Linked DNA regions of Arabidopsis thaliana. The protein of the gene in region 2 purifies or fractionates together with the protein of the main gene of each other region. This does not show direct contact. Each region holds a gene or a part of one and is shown on either strand. Other genes may lie near its edges.

The links.
Region 1: the proteins of AT4G11380 (region 2) and AT5G22780 fractionate together in Arabidopsis thaliana (co-fractionation; one large-scale study listed by BioGRID). This does not show direct contact.
Region 3: the proteins of AT4G11380 (region 2) and AP19 fractionate together in Arabidopsis thaliana (co-fractionation; one large-scale study listed by BioGRID). This does not show direct contact.

What each region holds. Positions count from the first base shown.
Region 1 is NC_003076.8:7,595,069-7,599,787, forward strand, and holds the start of AT5G22780 (Adaptor protein complex AP-2, alpha subunit), read right to left. Parts: upstream 3,046-4,719; 5' UTR 2,761-3,045; coding exon 2,635-2,760; intron 1,857-2,634; coding exon 1,725-1,856; intron 1,353-1,724; coding exon 1,227-1,352; intron 1,012-1,226; coding exon 949-1,011; intron 864-948; coding exon 766-863; intron 685-765; coding exon 477-684; intron 312-476; coding exon 240-311; intron 166-239; coding exon 73-165; intron 1-72. Other genes in the region: RER1 (reticulata-related 1), read right to left, coding at 4,327-4,520. UniProt on the Arabidopsis thaliana protein: Subunit of the adaptor protein complex 2 (AP-2). Adaptor protein complexes function in protein transport via transport vesicles in different membrane traffic pathways.
Region 2 is NC_003075.7:6,918,528-6,926,085, forward strand, and holds AT4G11380 (Adaptin family protein), read left to right. Parts: upstream 1-1,961; 5' UTR 1,962-2,080; coding exon 2,081-2,167; intron 2,168-2,364; coding exon 2,365-2,407; intron 2,408-2,477; coding exon 2,478-2,500; intron 2,501-2,634; coding exon 2,635-2,832; intron 2,833-2,949; coding exon 2,950-3,063; intron 3,064-3,188; coding exon 3,189-3,439; intron 3,440-3,753; coding exon 3,754-3,889; intron 3,890-4,038; coding exon 4,039-4,218; intron 4,219-4,314; coding exon 4,315-4,407; intron 4,408-4,493; coding exon 4,494-4,705; intron 4,706-4,792; coding exon 4,793-4,856; intron 4,857-4,953; coding exon 4,954-5,133; intron 5,134-5,229; coding exon 5,230-5,322; intron 5,323-5,475; coding exon 5,476-5,858; intron 5,859-5,976; coding exon 5,977-6,166; intron 6,167-6,247; coding exon 6,248-6,451; intron 6,452-6,617; coding exon 6,618-6,917; 3' UTR 6,918-7,049; downstream 7,050-7,558. Other genes in the region: AT4G11373 (Serine/Threonine kinase catalytic domain protein), read left to right, coding at 1,132-1,236.
Region 3 is NC_003071.7:7,551,489-7,555,708, forward strand, and holds AP19 (associated protein 19), read left to right. Parts: upstream 1-1,503; 5' UTR 1,504-1,633; coding exon 1,634-1,636; intron 1,637-2,466; coding exon 2,467-2,553; intron 2,554-2,642; coding exon 2,643-2,734; intron 2,735-2,819; coding exon 2,820-2,928; intron 2,929-3,027; coding exon 3,028-3,063; intron 3,064-3,151; coding exon 3,152-3,238; intron 3,239-3,327; coding exon 3,328-3,399; 3' UTR 3,400-3,675; downstream 3,676-4,220. Other genes in the region: HMG2 (3-hydroxy-3-methylglutaryl-CoA reductase 2), read left to right, coding at 1-121, 242-493. UniProt on the Arabidopsis thaliana protein: Subunit of clathrin-associated adaptor protein complex 1 that plays a role in protein sorting at the trans-Golgi network and early endosomes (TGN/EE).

The DNA.
Region 1 (4,719 bases), on a different chromosome or scaffold from region 2:
CAGATAGTTGACTTGAGTATAATCAACAATTGAACCTCAAAAAGTTAATGCTATTTCTTAGATAGAGCTTACCAGGGAGAGAGCTTCAAACAGCACGGCATGAGACGCATTGTTTTTATTCACATTTTTCACAACATCTGTGCCCATCAATATTCGCTGAAGGACCTGAAATTTCCATGAAATGCCATGAGAGAGATTTCGAAGACATATATCAGATATTTACACAAGAAAATTTGTACCTCAAAGAGAGCTTTTCTGGTACTGGGATCTTCAATGGTTGGAAAATATTGAAGAGCCCTCATTGCCTTAACCTGTACTGCCAAAGATATATAAGTATCCAACAACCACAACATACCAAAGCTGGGGCAAGCCTCTATTTTCATAAGCTAATTTCACATAAAATGTTTAAAATGCATGAGATTGGGAAAAGGATGTGATTAAAAAATATTGAACGTATTAACCGAGTTAAGACAAACCTGGAGCCAAGGAGATGGGATGCCATAGTATGTGTACTCCTGAGGAACATCCTGGTTCCTAGCAAGGCGTTCTAATATTTTGACACATTTAGGTAGACAACTTGAGTACGCCTCATGATTGTTAGATACCAGAGCTACAAGAAGACTCGTAGAAGACGTCAAGACACCAAGATCTCGTTCATCCAAAAGTTGTGCCATACGATCCGCCCTGGAAGTATACGACAAAGTGAATATGAAAGATGCACAAGTAAACTCAAACAACCAGTAACCCAAGAGTGTTCACACACACCAGCCATCAACGTTGACAGCATCCGGATTTTTTCGGAATAAGCGCAGTAGGCACAGTGCCGCTTTTTTCCTTACGAGAGGTCTGCAACTACTAGAAATCTGCAGCGAACAAGCCCCAAAACATTTATATGTTTACTTATATCGGGAAAAAAAACATAACATGTCATCTTTGGGAGTCACTTACAAGTAGCTTTTGAACATCAGGTGCCAATGATTCAGCAAAATCTCTTCCACCAATATTTCCAACCTACAGGACAAAATAAGCAGGGAAATGTAAGAGAGCTAGAAGAAAAAAAGCACCAGTTCAATGAAGTAAGTGGCTTTGAATCGCAAAATAATAGAGCACAAAAGATAAATGTATCCAAAGACTTCCACTAAAATAGTCATTCAACTGCATTCATAATCAGAAAGACCTCACTAAGCTCTAAAACCTCAACACAGCATGGACAAAAGCCAACATACCAAGGTCAGTGCTAAGCATTGGAAAGTCTCATTCCGACCAATAATATCGTTCCGCACTGTATTTATAGCCAACTTCAAAAAGTCATGGTTCTCATTGAGCAAGCAAGATGTAACAATGTAGCCAACCTGAAATTATGGATGAAAAGTTCAATACCTGCAAATTTGGTAGTGAGCATAAAATAATACAAACTGCAAATACAAACCCTTGGATACAATGCATGGTTCCTGGTTAAGATTTGCTACGATGTTACTAAGTAACTTATGCGTCTAAGTAAATGCCTCCAGTACTTTACCAGGTCCATTCAAACTGAATAAGTTGCAAGCTTGTGAAATAGTATCTAAATCCAGCATCCATTATCTTCAGAGATTTTTTTTTTTGTTTCAGCTTGCTCACTAGACTTGAATCAAACAAATACCCCACCCCCACCACACACACACCTATTATCTTCTCCTACCCTTAGAAAGCAATATTTCATTGGTTACAAAACGTTGGCTTACCTGCTTTTCTGGATACTTTGGCGCAGATATAAGAGAAACTGCCTCCATATGGCCAAAATCCACATCGTAGCCTAGCATATGTATATAAAGCATTTTCCAGACATATTTCTTCTTTTTGTATGGTGTTAAGACCTGAAAACATAAAACAAGTTAAAGTAAGAGTGCATGATTAATTTATTTCTAACATTTTAAAATAAGTTTGGTGTTGGTCCAACTGGCCACACATGGATCCACTACAGGCCGGCTACAGCTCTACTACGTAGAGTATGGAACCAGATTATCTCTCCAGAACTTCTTACAGCAACAAAGCTTAATGTATTTCGTAATGAGCTTTTCAAAATTTTCCGTGATCTGTATTTCTTTCCTTAGACCATCACTACATAACCGAATTTACTGCCAGGCCATTCTTTTCTTCTAGTTCCTAAATATCATCATATATTTAGTGTCTTATATATCTTGATTGATCTTCTCCCATCTATGGACTTTAAATGCAGTAATGACATTCCAAAGTTGAAAGCAGTACTAGTGATGTTACAAAGGGTAGAATAATGGCTAATCTCTACCGATCTGAGCTAGCTATACAATACTGCCTGTCCAGGTACACACTTAGTGTTATATCAAAAATTTATAGCCTGAATCCGATAAAATAAGAAACTACAGGCTTCCAAAACTATCCACTCGGCAACTCTGGCTTTCCTAATAAAATATTCGGCCAGTGATTGCATCTTTCTTTCAACTACATTCTTATATAACTCCCTAATCAACCTCAGAGGAATAGGTAGCTTCATGGAGAAATCTCCAATATATCTAATCAATACAGAACCTCGGCAGATACTACTCCGTCACTGAATTACCACTCAAAATGAGAATAAAACACAGGCAAACAAAAATGGAGATAATTGAGAGTAACCTTCTCATTCTTGAAGCATGTACGAATGTTTCCGAGCTCCTTATCAACTCGTAGTCTCTCCGCTTCCTTGTTCTGACAATTACGAACGTCGCTGATAAATACGGAGAGACCTCTCATTCCGGTCATGGTGGAACAGAGTCCTCAGATCCACCGTCCTCCACCGCCTCACACGGCGCAGATCCGAACTCGCGAAACCGGATCTAACTATGACAGAAAGCGCAGACCACAGCTGAAGGATTAGCAATTCGCGAGAGCTGAGATCGAAACCCTAATCTAGAAACGGAAAATGACACCTCCAATGGACGAAATTCAAAAAGGAGAGAGTGATCTTTGGAGAAGAGAGAGACAAGCCTGCGGGAAGAGACGAGGGACGACTTTTATTATTTACAACTTTGACTATTCAATTTTGTGTTATTCAGTTTCGTCTGTTTTGATTTTTGAACACATGCGAATTTGGAAAATTCGAAATTGACTCGTCCAAAAACAGAATTCACGAGTTTACAAAAAAAAACAAAAATTAAAACGAGCTAAACAGACGAATTTAAGATTACAAGTTCGAGAAATACAAAAAATAAACGAGTAATTCGAAAAATAAACATGGAATAAACTAATTTTATATATTAAAAATGAAGAAAGCTGGCCATTTCTCAAAAGACTGCACCATTAAAACGAAGTTTGTACAATCTGTCTCAAAATCTTAAACTGTTTTTCACCGCGGTTATGTATTCAATTGGTATTTCAGTATAACATAAGTACATAACCATACCATGAGACCATGAAAAAACCGGATTTTAAATTCAGGTCAAGTTATGGTCCCAACGTAGGGATGATTAATCAAATGATTCACCTTCCTTGGGAGGACAATGTTCCTTTGAACAGTCGTCAGCTTTTGATTACCATTTGGTATTCACATTAATTAATCTATAGGGCATATAATATAAATTGTTCAAATTAAGTAAAGGAGTATAAATAAAATATCATTAAGGGGCACAAAACAGAAACAAGAGAACAAAAGATGAGGATCATGCAGCAGTTGGATGACAGTGGTTACTAAGCTGTCACTCGCAAGATCCTCCATCTATCGAATGATGCCTTACCATCAAAGTATCCTAAGAATATTTTCCTTGCAAATAAATATCGAAAGATTTTTTTGTAATATACTCACTCATAGTTGCTTTAAATATTTTTATTTATTACTTTTAATATCTCCACCTACCAACAATTCTCCTTTTCCCCTTCTCACTTTTAACGGTGGGAAAAGTGAAAAAAAAAACACAGAAGAATGAATCAACGCAAACGTCAAAAATGACGTTTAGTTGACATAATTCGCCATTGTGATCATATTGTTATAAACTTTATAAAAACGCAGAGGCTAACGGCTGATAAAAAGTTTGAGTCATTATTGCAAGTATATGATTCAGAAAAATGAATAAGAGAGACAAGGATACCATGAGAAACTCAACTTCCAAAACCAAATTGAAAATGTTGTATCGAGTAGTATTCCGGTTAGAAGAATCCGGTCCGTATCATGAACCAGATTCTCTTTCTGTAGCTCTCGGTAAATAACCTAATCACACTAATGAAACTCAGATAACTAAACTTCCCCATCAGATTAGAGATACTCTCATACTCCTGAGGATTGACATCTAGGCTAGTTTACTATCCGGTTTGTAACAAAACCGAACCGGTTGATTACTGAACGCCGGACAATTTAGCCCAATCTACAAATTGCATACCGCCATACACATTGTTAGCAAACCGGACTCCCACCGTGAATGCCATAGCGACCACAGGGATACGTTTGGCCGCTGTAGAACCTTCCACGACGCGTTCGAGGCCGTTGATGATTTGGTAACGCGCATTGGAAGATAAGCCGAGGAACACACCTGAACAACAGCGCAATACAGAGAAGAGAGTGAATATATATGTATATGTAATCAACAATTCACAGAGTAAACTTCAGGGTTATCTCTGAGCTCAGCAACTAAATTACCCTCTCCATTGATCTAATATTGCTAACAACAGGACAATGTAGCTAATATCTTCACATAGAATTGTAAGCATAATCTATTCTTGGTATCATTG
Region 2 (7,558 bases):
GTTGGGGAACTTTGCAGAACTAGGATCAATCTGTGGACGAGACTGAGTAGCAAAAGCAGTGACATCTAGCTTTTCTTCCTTAGAGTATCTATTGCTCAACATGTCCTCTTCTTGTCTCACAATGTTGTAGACTTCTTCGAGTCCAGGAAGAGGAACACGTGATGTTAAGCTAGACCGAATTGTATGAAATTGAGTTTCATCAAGTCCATACAGAAATTGTTGAACCATGTCATCTTCTCTACCTTTCTCCTGCTCAGCTTCAAGATTACACACACATCTTCCACATTTGCAGGTTCGAAGAGGACGATAGTTGTTGATATTATCCCAAATCTTGTTGAGTTTTCCATAATATCCTTCAACAGTCATACCCTCTTGTTTACAAGTAGCAAGATCTGCCTTCATCTTCTGATTCTTTGGACCACTAGAAACAGAGAAGCGTTTACGAGTGTGTTCCCAAAGATCTCTAGCCACGTCACGGTGGGAGATATTCGTCAAGAGCGCCGGGTCAATCGTCATCTTCATCCAAGACACTAGCAAAGCATTAATCGTTAACCAGTCCTCGAGGTCCAGAGATTCTGACGGCGGTTGTGGAATGGAGCCGTCAAGAAAACCAAACTTCTTCCGTGAGCGCAGTGCTGTTTTGAAGCCACATGCCCATTCATCATAATTAGTCGACTTCAAGATCGGGTGGGAGATCACAGCTCCAGAGTTATCAGCGACCGTTAAGTCATACGGCGAGATCGTTCGCCGGACTTCAGTTACAAGAGGAATTACCGGAGGAGCAGCCATTACTCCAAAAGAAACTCAAACTTTATCGATTTCAAATGAAAAACCCCAGCTTTAGCTCTGATACCATGACAAAATCAAGAGACAAGAGATAAAGATAAGGTTTTGTCTTGATAGCAGCTTAAGTGTTTCTCAGACACTTATACAAAGAGAAAGCGTTTCAGACCTAAAGGGACAAGAAGGGAAAAGACCAAAAGGGGTTACAAACAGTACATAAAGCAACATTAAGCTTAAGAGCAACTAATTGATGTGCTCTAAATAAGATAAGTAGCAATATCTTCAACAGAGAGATCTTTGCTTCGTTTTGTTAATCTTTTTGTTGGGTTTGATTTGGTCTTTGGTTAGTTGCAGAGTGGGAATAAGCTCCGCGTGTTTTGGTGTCAACTTGTTGTCCTAGTTTTTAGTTTTGTTTCAGTTAGTTCCTGCAATTTCTCTTTCACGTATTTGTAAGAAGACTGAGTCTTCATCTTTAGGCTATTTAAAGCCAAACAACTATGATAATAAAACATCGAAGCATTCAGTTTTAGTCTCTTTGTTCTCTCAGATCAACACTTTTGTATGTTTATGTAGCAAATATGTCATAGAGATTTGAAGATTGAGAAAACACTGCTTGATGGTAGTCTTGCACCGCTTTTGAAAATCTGTGATTACTTGGCTTTGATCTCATAGGTCATTCATTCATTAGTCTCTTTTTCTTCTTTTGTTTCAGTTTTGGTTCCCATTATTACTTGGCTTTGATCTCATAAGTTTTTTTTTTAAGGAAACCCATTTAAGGATTCTACCTTTGGAGAAGAGAATTTATAAAAACTTGACAAAAACTCTAACCTTCAAAATTATTAATATTTGTTATTAAGAAATTTAAAGGATTCCTTATAAAAAACCCACCAATGGATTTGCTTTAAGATCCATTAAGATACTTATTGGAACCTGGAACCAAATCAAAACTCTTTTTTTTTTTTTTGGTTCGGTTCGGTTCAGTTCCAGTTTTATGGCAAAACCTAAGTTTAGGGGTAAATTGGAAAATATTCAAAAGTTTTAGCCAAATATCAAAGTTTTTACTAATTATCAAAAGACACACTCGAGAAATTCATAAATGGGCTAACTTTTATCAGAGAGCCCACTAAACAATCGGCCCGTTAGCCAAGAAAATCGTCACCGGCGTCTTCCATTCCAACATTTCTCCGTCATCGTCTCTCTCTCTCTTTTTTTTTTGTGTGTGCAAAACGTCTCTCTCTCTGTCTCATAAAATCTCAGAGAAGAAACATCGTCGGGTCAGGTCGAAGAAAGGAGAGAAATGAGTGGTCACGATTCGAAATACTTCTCCACGACGAAGAAGGGAGAGATCCCTGAGCTCAAGGAAGAGCTTAATTCCCAGTATAAGGTTTTTTTTTTCTTCTTAATCTTACTCTTGTCTCATTCCATGTGGATCTGTGATCCGCCATTATTACATTCACGATCTCTCGGTCGATGATCCTTCTCTCCTTGTAATTTAGTTATCCTTATACAAATTTTGGTAGATCTGTGTAGTTCTGGATTTTGAATTTTGAATTGAAATTGGTTTCGTGATTTTGTGGGAAGTGCGATGATTCCGTTCATTTTTCAGTAACTGATTGGGATATAGGTTAGAATTGGAGAGGAATTGGTAGGTTTTTGAGAATGGCTAATGTGGAGATGTGTGTGCAATCTCGTAGTAACTTTAGTGAAGCTTAGGTTGGTGAATCAGAACTTGTTCGATCTGGATCAGTGGATTTGGATGAAGAGTTTATGTTAATGATTTAAGAAGGAATGGTTCTTTTCTGCTTTGGCTACAGTTTTGTTAACCCTTGTTGTTTATTTACTGTTGCATAGGATAAGAGAAAAGATGCAGTTAAGAAGGTTATTGCGGCGATGACTGTTGGAAAGGATGTTTCATCACTTTTCACTGATGTAGTCAATTGTATGCAAACGGAAAATTTGGAGTTGAAGAAGCTTGTTTACTTGTATCTCATAAATTATGCGAAAAGCCAGCCAGATCTTGCTATTCTTGCAGTAAATACCTTTGTAAAGGTAACACTCAAGCAACTCAAACAAAACCACGTGGCATTCCTTTGTTCTGTTCTGAACCTGAAGGGGAAAGGAACTGATAAACTGATCATTACAAAATCATTGGTTTGTATTCTGCAGGATTCACAGGATCCAAATCCGCTGATTCGTGCTTTGGCTGTGCGGACAATGGGCTGCATTCGTGTTGATAAAATCACAGAATATCTATGTGATCCTCTTCAAAAGTGCCTAAAGGTTTGAGTTTCTAATGTTACATCTTCATTGGAATCTGATATCAAACATCTTTATTGCCCTTAAGAACCTGTTTCATCTTGACTAGTCCATCTTTTCACTATCCTGTGTATATTTTTTGTGTTTAGGATGATGACCCATATGTCAGGAAGACTGCGGCTATTTGCGTCGCTAAGCTTTTCGACATAAATGCTGAATTAGTTGAGGACAGAGGTTTCCTTGAAGCCTTGAAGGATTTGATATCAGATAACAATCCAATGGTTGTTGCCAATGCTGTAGCAGCCCTTGCGGAGATTCAAGAGAACAGTAGTAGCCCCATCTTTGAGATCAATAGTACCACTCTTACAAAGCTCCTTACTGCTCTAAATGAATGCACTGAGTAAGTCCTCTCCATTTCCGTAGTTTCACTGCATTCTGTTCGATTTTGAGTATTTATGGCCCCATTGTCCAGTCAGGGTTTAGGGGATGTTGATGGTTGTGAAATAGCTTGTTTGATGTGGTATGGCCTCTGTTTGGATATCATTCCGTTGTCTTTGTAACTATTTTCAAACAGCAGTTTAGAATTTTTCGTCATTGATGGTTTTATCTGTAGATAATGACCCAGTATATAAACTTTGGGGAAGAGAAGCATAAAATGAGTAATGGATAAGCTTTTGGTAGCTTCATTTTTAGTACTGACCATGATCATCGCAGGTGGGGTCAAGTTTTTATACTAGATGCTTTATCGAAGTATAAAGCAGCTGATCCCCGTGAGGCTGAAAATATTGTTGAGAGAGTAACACCAAGGTTGCAACATGCCAACTGCGCTGTTGTTCTTTCAGCTGTTAAGGTGAGCGACTTTCATTGATTGTTATCCTCTCTACTTCTAGTTGGTAGCTCGTCAAACTTGATTGTAAAACATCAGGCATCATCAAATGCCTTTGCATATTTTCCTATTGCGTTCTCACTTCTGTTTCATATTTGGTAATTGCCTGACAGATGATCCTTCAACAAATGGAACTTATTACTAGTACAGACGTGATTAGAAATCTTTGTAAGAAGATGGCTCCACCCCTTGTTACATTGCTTTCTGCCGAACCTGAGATACAATATGTTGCACTTCGTAACATTAATCTTATTGTGCAAAAACGACCCACTATCCTTGCCCATGAAATTAAGGTAGCATGACCTGTGTCTCATAGTTCCTCAGAATAAACAACTGATGTATCCGTGCATTTATTGATTATGTTGAAAGTGATATTCTTTTTGTTTTAGGTTTTCTTCTGCAAGTATAACGACCCAATTTATGTTAAGATGGAGAAGTTGGAGATTATGATTAAACTTGCCTCTGACAGAAACATAGACCAGGTATCCTCACTGAGCTCTACCATCTGCTGTGTGTCTTGATTATTATTGGTGCATATCTTTATGATTTTTGAAAATTGCTACTCTAGGTTCTTCTGGAATTCAAAGAGTATGCCACAGAAGTAGACGTTGATTTTGTTAGAAAGGCTGTTCGTGCGATAGGCCGATGTGCTATCAAACTAGAGAGAGCAGCTGAACGGTGCATCAGTGTTTTGCTCGAGTTGATCAAGATTAAAGTGAATTATGTTGTCCAGGAGGCCATTATTGTCATCAAAGATATCTTCAGAAGATATCCAAACACGTAAGTTGACATTTCTCAATCACTGTTGAAATGGCATCTTAAAACTCTTCTTTGATTTTGGTTATGCTATTCAAATATTTCATACAGGTATGAGTCCATAATTGCAACACTCTGTGAGAGTTTAGACACTTTGGATGAACCAGAAGCTAAGGTATTGAACTTTTTTGATTTTGGTTTGGAAAATTGAAATTTACCATCTTCATTTAATCTTAAATCACTGAATTCGGTATCTTTTGGTAACTTGAAAGGCATCTATGATATGGATCATTGGTGAATATGCTGAAAGAATTGACAATGCCGATGAGCTTCTTGAAAGCTTTCTGGAGAATTTTCCTGAGGAACCAGCACAGGTCCAGTTGCAGCTCCTAACTGCTACTGTTAAGCTATTCCTGAAGAAGCCAACTGAAGGCCCTCAACAAATGATTCAGGTTCGGCTTTTTCCTTGCTCACCACTGTTTTTATGATCGATTCATGAGCATGTATGTAATGACAGGCATGTTTTCCGTTATGCTTGATGTTTTCAGGTTGTCTTGAATAATGCTACTGTGGAGACGGATAATCCTGATCTCAGAGATCGTGCATACATATACTGGCGTCTTCTATCCACTGATCCTGAGGTGTGTGTTACCTTGATTTCTTATAGCTTTCTAGTAATCAACCAGTAGAGAATGAATATATTCAGGATTGGTTATTCAAGCAACAAGCAATTTTTATCAGTTGAGCTTTCTCTTGAGATGTATTTGGCTGAACTCATCATTTCTCTTGATTAGGCTGCCAAGGATGTTGTCTTAGCTGAAAAGCCCGTGATTTCTGACGACTCAAACCAGCTAGACCCATCACTTCTTGATGAGCTTCTTACAAATATTTCGACCTTGTCCTCTGTGTACCACAAACCCCCAGAGGCTTTTGTTACCCGCTTGAAAACGACAGTTCAGAAAACAGAAGACGAGGACTTTGCGGAAGGAAGCGAAGCAGGATACTCATCTAGTAATCCGGTTGATAGTGCAGCTTCTCCTCCAGGTAATATCCCACAGCCTTCCGGAAGACAACCAGCACCAGCGGTCCCAGCTCCTGTACCTGATCTGCTAGGTGACCTGATGGGATTGGATAATGCCGCTATTGTCCCGGTTGATGATCCCATAACTCAATCTGGGTGAGTTATGTCTTGATTAATGAAACTTTCTATTGTTGGGACTAGTTTATTACGTTAGGTCAATTTCGGTTGCCTAGTTCATACTGAAACTCATCAAATCTTATGAACTTGATCGTAGTCCTCCTCTGCCCGTTGTCGTCCCAGCTTCAAGTGGTCAAGGTCTGCAGATAAGCGCTCAATTATCCCGAAAAGATGGACAAGTATTTTACAGTATGCTCTTCGAGAACAACTCGCAGTCGGTTCTTGATGGTTTCATGATTCAGTTCAACAAAAACACATTCGGCCTTGCAGCTGCTGGATCTCTTCAGGTAACTCTATCTGAATCTAATTAACGTCTGAAACTCAGGTCTGAATCATTGAAACCAATATCCATGTCTGTACTGTTTCAGATTCCGCCTTTGCATCCCGCAACATCCGCCAGGACAATGCTACCTATGGTCTTGTTCCAAAACATGTCTGCTGGGCCTCCAAGCTCGCTCTTACAAGTCGCTGTCAAAAACAACCAGCAGCCCGTGTGGTACTTCACCGATAAGATTATACTTCATGCTCTTTTCGGTGAAGACGGTAGAATGGAACGTGGAACCTTCCTTGAGGTAACATACTTCAAAACTTGAGCTGTTCATATCGGTTCTGGTTTAGGAAAATAGTGACGACTGTGAAACCAAATCGGTTAGAGATAAATTTATACGGTTTGGGTTTTCATTTGGATATATCTTTATGTTTTCAAAGATTTTAAGTTTTTGTTTGCTTTTTAATCAGACATGGAGGTCGTTACCGGACTCAAATGAAGTCCTGAAAGAATTCCCCGGGATCACCATCACGAGCGTCGAATCAACTATCGAATTGCTCACAGCATTCAACATGTTCTTTATAGCAAAGCGCAAGAACGGGAACCAAGACGTGATCTACTTATCAGCCAAAGATCCACGAGATGTACCGTTTTTGATCGAGCTCACTGCAATGGTGGGCCAACCAGGTCTCAAATGCGCAGTGAAAACTCCCACTCCCGAGATTGCGCCTCTCTTCTTCGAAGCTTTGGAGCTTCTCTTCAAGGCTTGATGATTAACGTTGTTATCAAAAGGCTAATAAGACCAAGACCTGAAAGGTTTCAGAGATTCTTTCTTGTTTCGTTATATCCCACCTTTTTTCTTCTTCTGAGTTTAGTGTATGTAATAAATCCCATGTTTGTGTTACTTCCGGTTGCACCCTTTTAGTTTGGTATTTGTAATGCTCACTATTTTCTTATAATTCTTGTATCGGAACCACATTTTTTTTCTTTCGATATTTAATCCGGGAAATGCTGGTTTCTGAACTAATAAGGAAGATCAAACACCATCAAAGGACCAGATCACCATGGAAAATCAGTGATCTAGCTACATTGGAGCCGTTGATGATGCTAGTGATGGACAATGCCAAAACTTTCAAACATTTCTTTTAGGTGATAGGTACACTTGGGGCTAGAGACCAAAGACGGTTATTCTTGTATTTTAAAATCAGAATTGCTATCAGAAGCATGTGTTTTGTCATGCAGTGTGCAATTTGGAGTTTCTTTCAGGATATGCTAGCCACACTAAGTTTGCATCAGAGTGAAACATAGTAGTATCCTTTTAGAAAGTAAGGCATCGGCTCTTAAGTTAAACACAATTTGGATAGACATATGTGGACATGCAAAAGTTATCGTGGGAGGAGTGTTGGGAAAC
Region 3 (4,220 bases), on a different chromosome or scaffold from region 2:
CGCTGTGTTCATCGCCACTGGCCAAGACCCAGCTCAAAACGTGGAGAGCTCACACTGTATGACCATGATTCTTCCCGATGGTGACGACCTTCACATCTCTGTTTCAATGCCTTGCATTGAGGTATAATGCATGTTCTATCTTGAAATTAAACCCATTATTGCAGAGAACACAAAGCCGTTAGTTTTTTGAATTATTGTTGGATCCAACTCATGAATGTTTTGTTTATTGATGTGACTCCAGGTTGGTACTGTTGGAGGTGGGACACAACTTGCATCACAAGCAGCTTGTTTGAATCTACTCGGTGTGAAAGGATCAAACAACGAGAAACCTGGCTCGAACGCACAGCAATTGGCAAGAATAGTGGCTGGTTCGGTTCTTGCAGGAGAGCTTTCACTAATGTCTGCTATTGCAGCTGGACAGCTTGTGAAGAGTCACATGAAATACAACAGATCCAGCAGAGACATTGGCCCTTCGTCTCAAGTCAACAGGTGATGTTTGGAGCACGATGAGACGGATAATAATAAAACAACAAAAACCCATAATTAGATTTGATGTAATTCTAACTTCATTTGATTTCTTCTTCATCGATCTCTTTTCTTTTCTATCTATTTTGTACTAAGTCTCCAAATTTTCTTAATTTATGTAAAGTCTTTTGTCCTTCCATCTTTATGGCTTATATTAATATCATAGCTTAGCATCAAAATGTGTAATTAAATTGCGGTTTAAGCTTTAAAGCCATGATTTTTTTTTCTAACATTGAATAGATTATTGTGGCAGTGTTTGCTTTGTGATGATTATGTACGTGACAGAGTTAGGTACTACTAATAAATGTAGAAATGTAGTTGTGAATATTGCAGACGATGGAGGAGTGATATGGTAGTTTGACAAATGAAGCATTTGAGGCAATGAAGTCTCTCCTCATGGCATGTGTGTGTATGGGTCTTTGATGATATCTTAGAAAGTAAGCAGTAGAGACTGTGCAGAGAGCTAAACCAACAATCATTATTGATTTTAAACCAAAGAGAGTAAGAGTTTTATTATTATTGATTTCTGATTACTTCTCTTACAATTGAAGTAATGAATTTTATGTTACGACAAATTTGATCATTTATATAGACGTAAAAATGTAAATTATTATGCATGCATAGTGACGCTGAGGCTCATACAAGTTATAATTTACTCTCAATATTTTCAGGTTGCACATCAATTGTTGATATTTTGTTTCCTCCTTTGTTCTAACTTTTACAACAATAATATCTCATTTTGAAAAATTGCCTAAACCTTTTAATAAAAAGTTGTGATTTTGTTGCAATTTTTAATCTGTAAAAATGCAATCCGATTAAGTCGGACCGTCAGATCAGTCCTCATCTTGTTTGTTTAACGGTCCAGATTTAAAACACTACCCCAGTAAATACAAAACCAACTGAAGAAAAATAAATAAAAAGTAAATTTTTAAAGAGTCCGACCCGGGTCCCTCAAAAAAAAAAAACTCCGACCCGGGACAAGATCCGTATCCAACAAACTTATATGTGTATCGGACACAGAAGAATACTTTCCACGATCATCAGCTTCTGGAGATCTCTTCTGGGAATCGAGCTTCACTGTTAAAGATTTTCCTTCAATCGGCTAAAAATGGTAACAATCGCCACTCCCTTTGCTTTTGGGCTTCTCTGTTATCTGTTCGAATTTTGGATCTGCCTTCGATCTTGTACTATTGCATCGAGTATCTACGATTTGATTTGATGATGAAATTGAATCTAATCCTCCGGTATCCGTAGATTTCTGCTTGGATCTGTCCGGTTCTTTTCTCGCTTACGAATTGATCGATTATTTAGGAAGTGAAAGGATTAGTTTGTTTCGTGAAGCTTGAAATTGTTATGTTTCTGTTGCCCATTCGAATCTCTTGTGAGTTATTAAATCCAATTCATTGTTTTTGAACCACTATTGCTCTTGAAGTAATTAAGCTTCTTGGATTCAAATGTAATAGGGTCTAAGCTAGTTCATGTACCTCACATCTCTTTATTTGCCTCTGTTTCTGAATTGGCAAAATAAGCTCGTTGATCTCTCCATCTTTCCATATCTTTAAATGGTTTAAAAACTTTTCTTGAGATGCTTGTGGCTTGCGTTTAGGTGTATGATGGTAAATGATTCTCAAGTTCTGGTACTTGATCTCTCACAATTCCCTCTTTTGCTTGCCTTATGCAATTATGTGCATTTCAAATCTTTATGAGTTGCCAGAAATCGTGATATATACTACTGGTTTTGTCTGGTCTTGTTTTAATTCTCTTTATCTCGATGCTGTCTTTGTGATTCTAGAATTTTCTCATGCTTGATATGGGTGAGGAGACGTCAAAAACTAATTAATGTGTTATGTATTGCCATTCACAATGATAGAATAATGCTTTCTTGAAAAGAAAAAAAAAAACTTCTAAGGTGGCTGTTTTGGGTTATGTTTGTATTTTCAGATACATTTCGTGTTACTAGTCAGTCGACAAGGGAAAGTAAGGCTCACCAAGTGGTATTCGCCGTATACGCAGAAGGAAAGATCTAAGGTATGTACAGCTTAAGTGTTATTGAGTTAATGCCGCATTATGCTTTGCATGCCTATTTAATCTTACATTTGGAAAAATGATCTGGACAGGTCATACGTGAACTCAGTGGAGTGATTCTGAACCGAGGTCCCAAGCTCTGCAATTTTATTGAATGGAGAGGATACAAGGTTGTCTACAAAAGGTAATAGACATATTTTATATAAGTAGCATGTATTTGCTACTTTAAAAACAATGGTTATAAACATGATGGTTTTGTAATTTTGCAGATATGCAAGCTTGTACTTCTGCATGTGCATTGATGAGGCGGATAACGAGTTAGAGGTACTGGAGATAATTCATCACTACGTCGAGATTCTTGACCGCTACTTTGGCAGTGTGAGTAAACGCTTATCCAAAATATACTCCTACCACTCTATCATAACCTTACAAAACATCTAGATTTTGATTAAGAGCTGTTTATTCTATGATCTTCAGGTGTGTGAACTCGATTTGATTTTTAACTTCCACAAGGTATACATACTCAACTCTATCAATGATTCTCTACTCTCTGTATTTTACTTCAATATGACAATTTTCGAATCTGGTTGTTTTGTTCTAGGCGTATTATATACTCGATGAGCTGTTGATCGCCGGAGAACTTCAAGAGTCAAGCAAGAAAACAGTTGCAAGGATAATATCAGCCCAGGTATGGTTTCTTAATCCTAATGCCCACTGAGACAAAAACGATTAGTCCGTAAGGGTTGTGTAAATGATGTTGTGTTATAATATTTGAAGGATCAATTGGTGGAAGTTGCGAAAGAGGAGGCGAGTTCCATAAGTAATATAATTGCTCAGGCTACCAAGTAGTCCTTTTCTGAACTTTTCTTATGCAGCTGAAACAATCGTAAATGAGTTAATATTTTCCTTAAACTCTGAGATATTCTCTTCTGAATCACACTTTTGTTTGTCATGTCATGTGATTGTTTGATTGATTAGAAGAAAGAAGCATTCATCGTTTTGGGTTTAAAAGTAGTGATTGATCTGCGAAATCATAAATGGTATACTATTTTTTCACATATGTTACGTTTTAAAACGTGGAATGCTGAAATTTCATCAAGTTCATCATCTCGAAATTATAATTTGTCCGATTGATTGAATAGAATTGGTTTTTGAGCCTGAGGACTGATGCACCAAACAACATGCCAGTGTCTCGTTCTTTCTTCTTCAACGTGCCTAATTTTGTAATTCGGGCGACCTAACCTCATTTTGTGTAACCGTGATCCGCCATGAGAGGAGGTATCCGCTCGAAGAGTTATCCTTTCTCCTCACAAAAGCAACGCCAATGTCCCTTTTCTCACTTTGCCCTGTTTGCTCCTTAGTACTTGTTTCACCAAAATAATCTATAGGATTTCAAATACATGAAGAATGTTTGATGGTAACACCAAAAATAGTGGAGAAGAAACAGACACTTATGGGCTTGGGCTCAAGGACTCGAAACTTGTATACCCAAACTTAAACGTGACTGCGTCTTGTTCTTACCAATCCAATAATTTATAGTAATGATAATAATTCATCTTTCCATATATAATTTTTTTTAATTATTGAAATTAAAAATGAGGGAAAGAATATCCGTTTTCTTTGCCACAAAAACATTTTCATTTGGGGGTTTTCATAATTTTTGGTTCTTC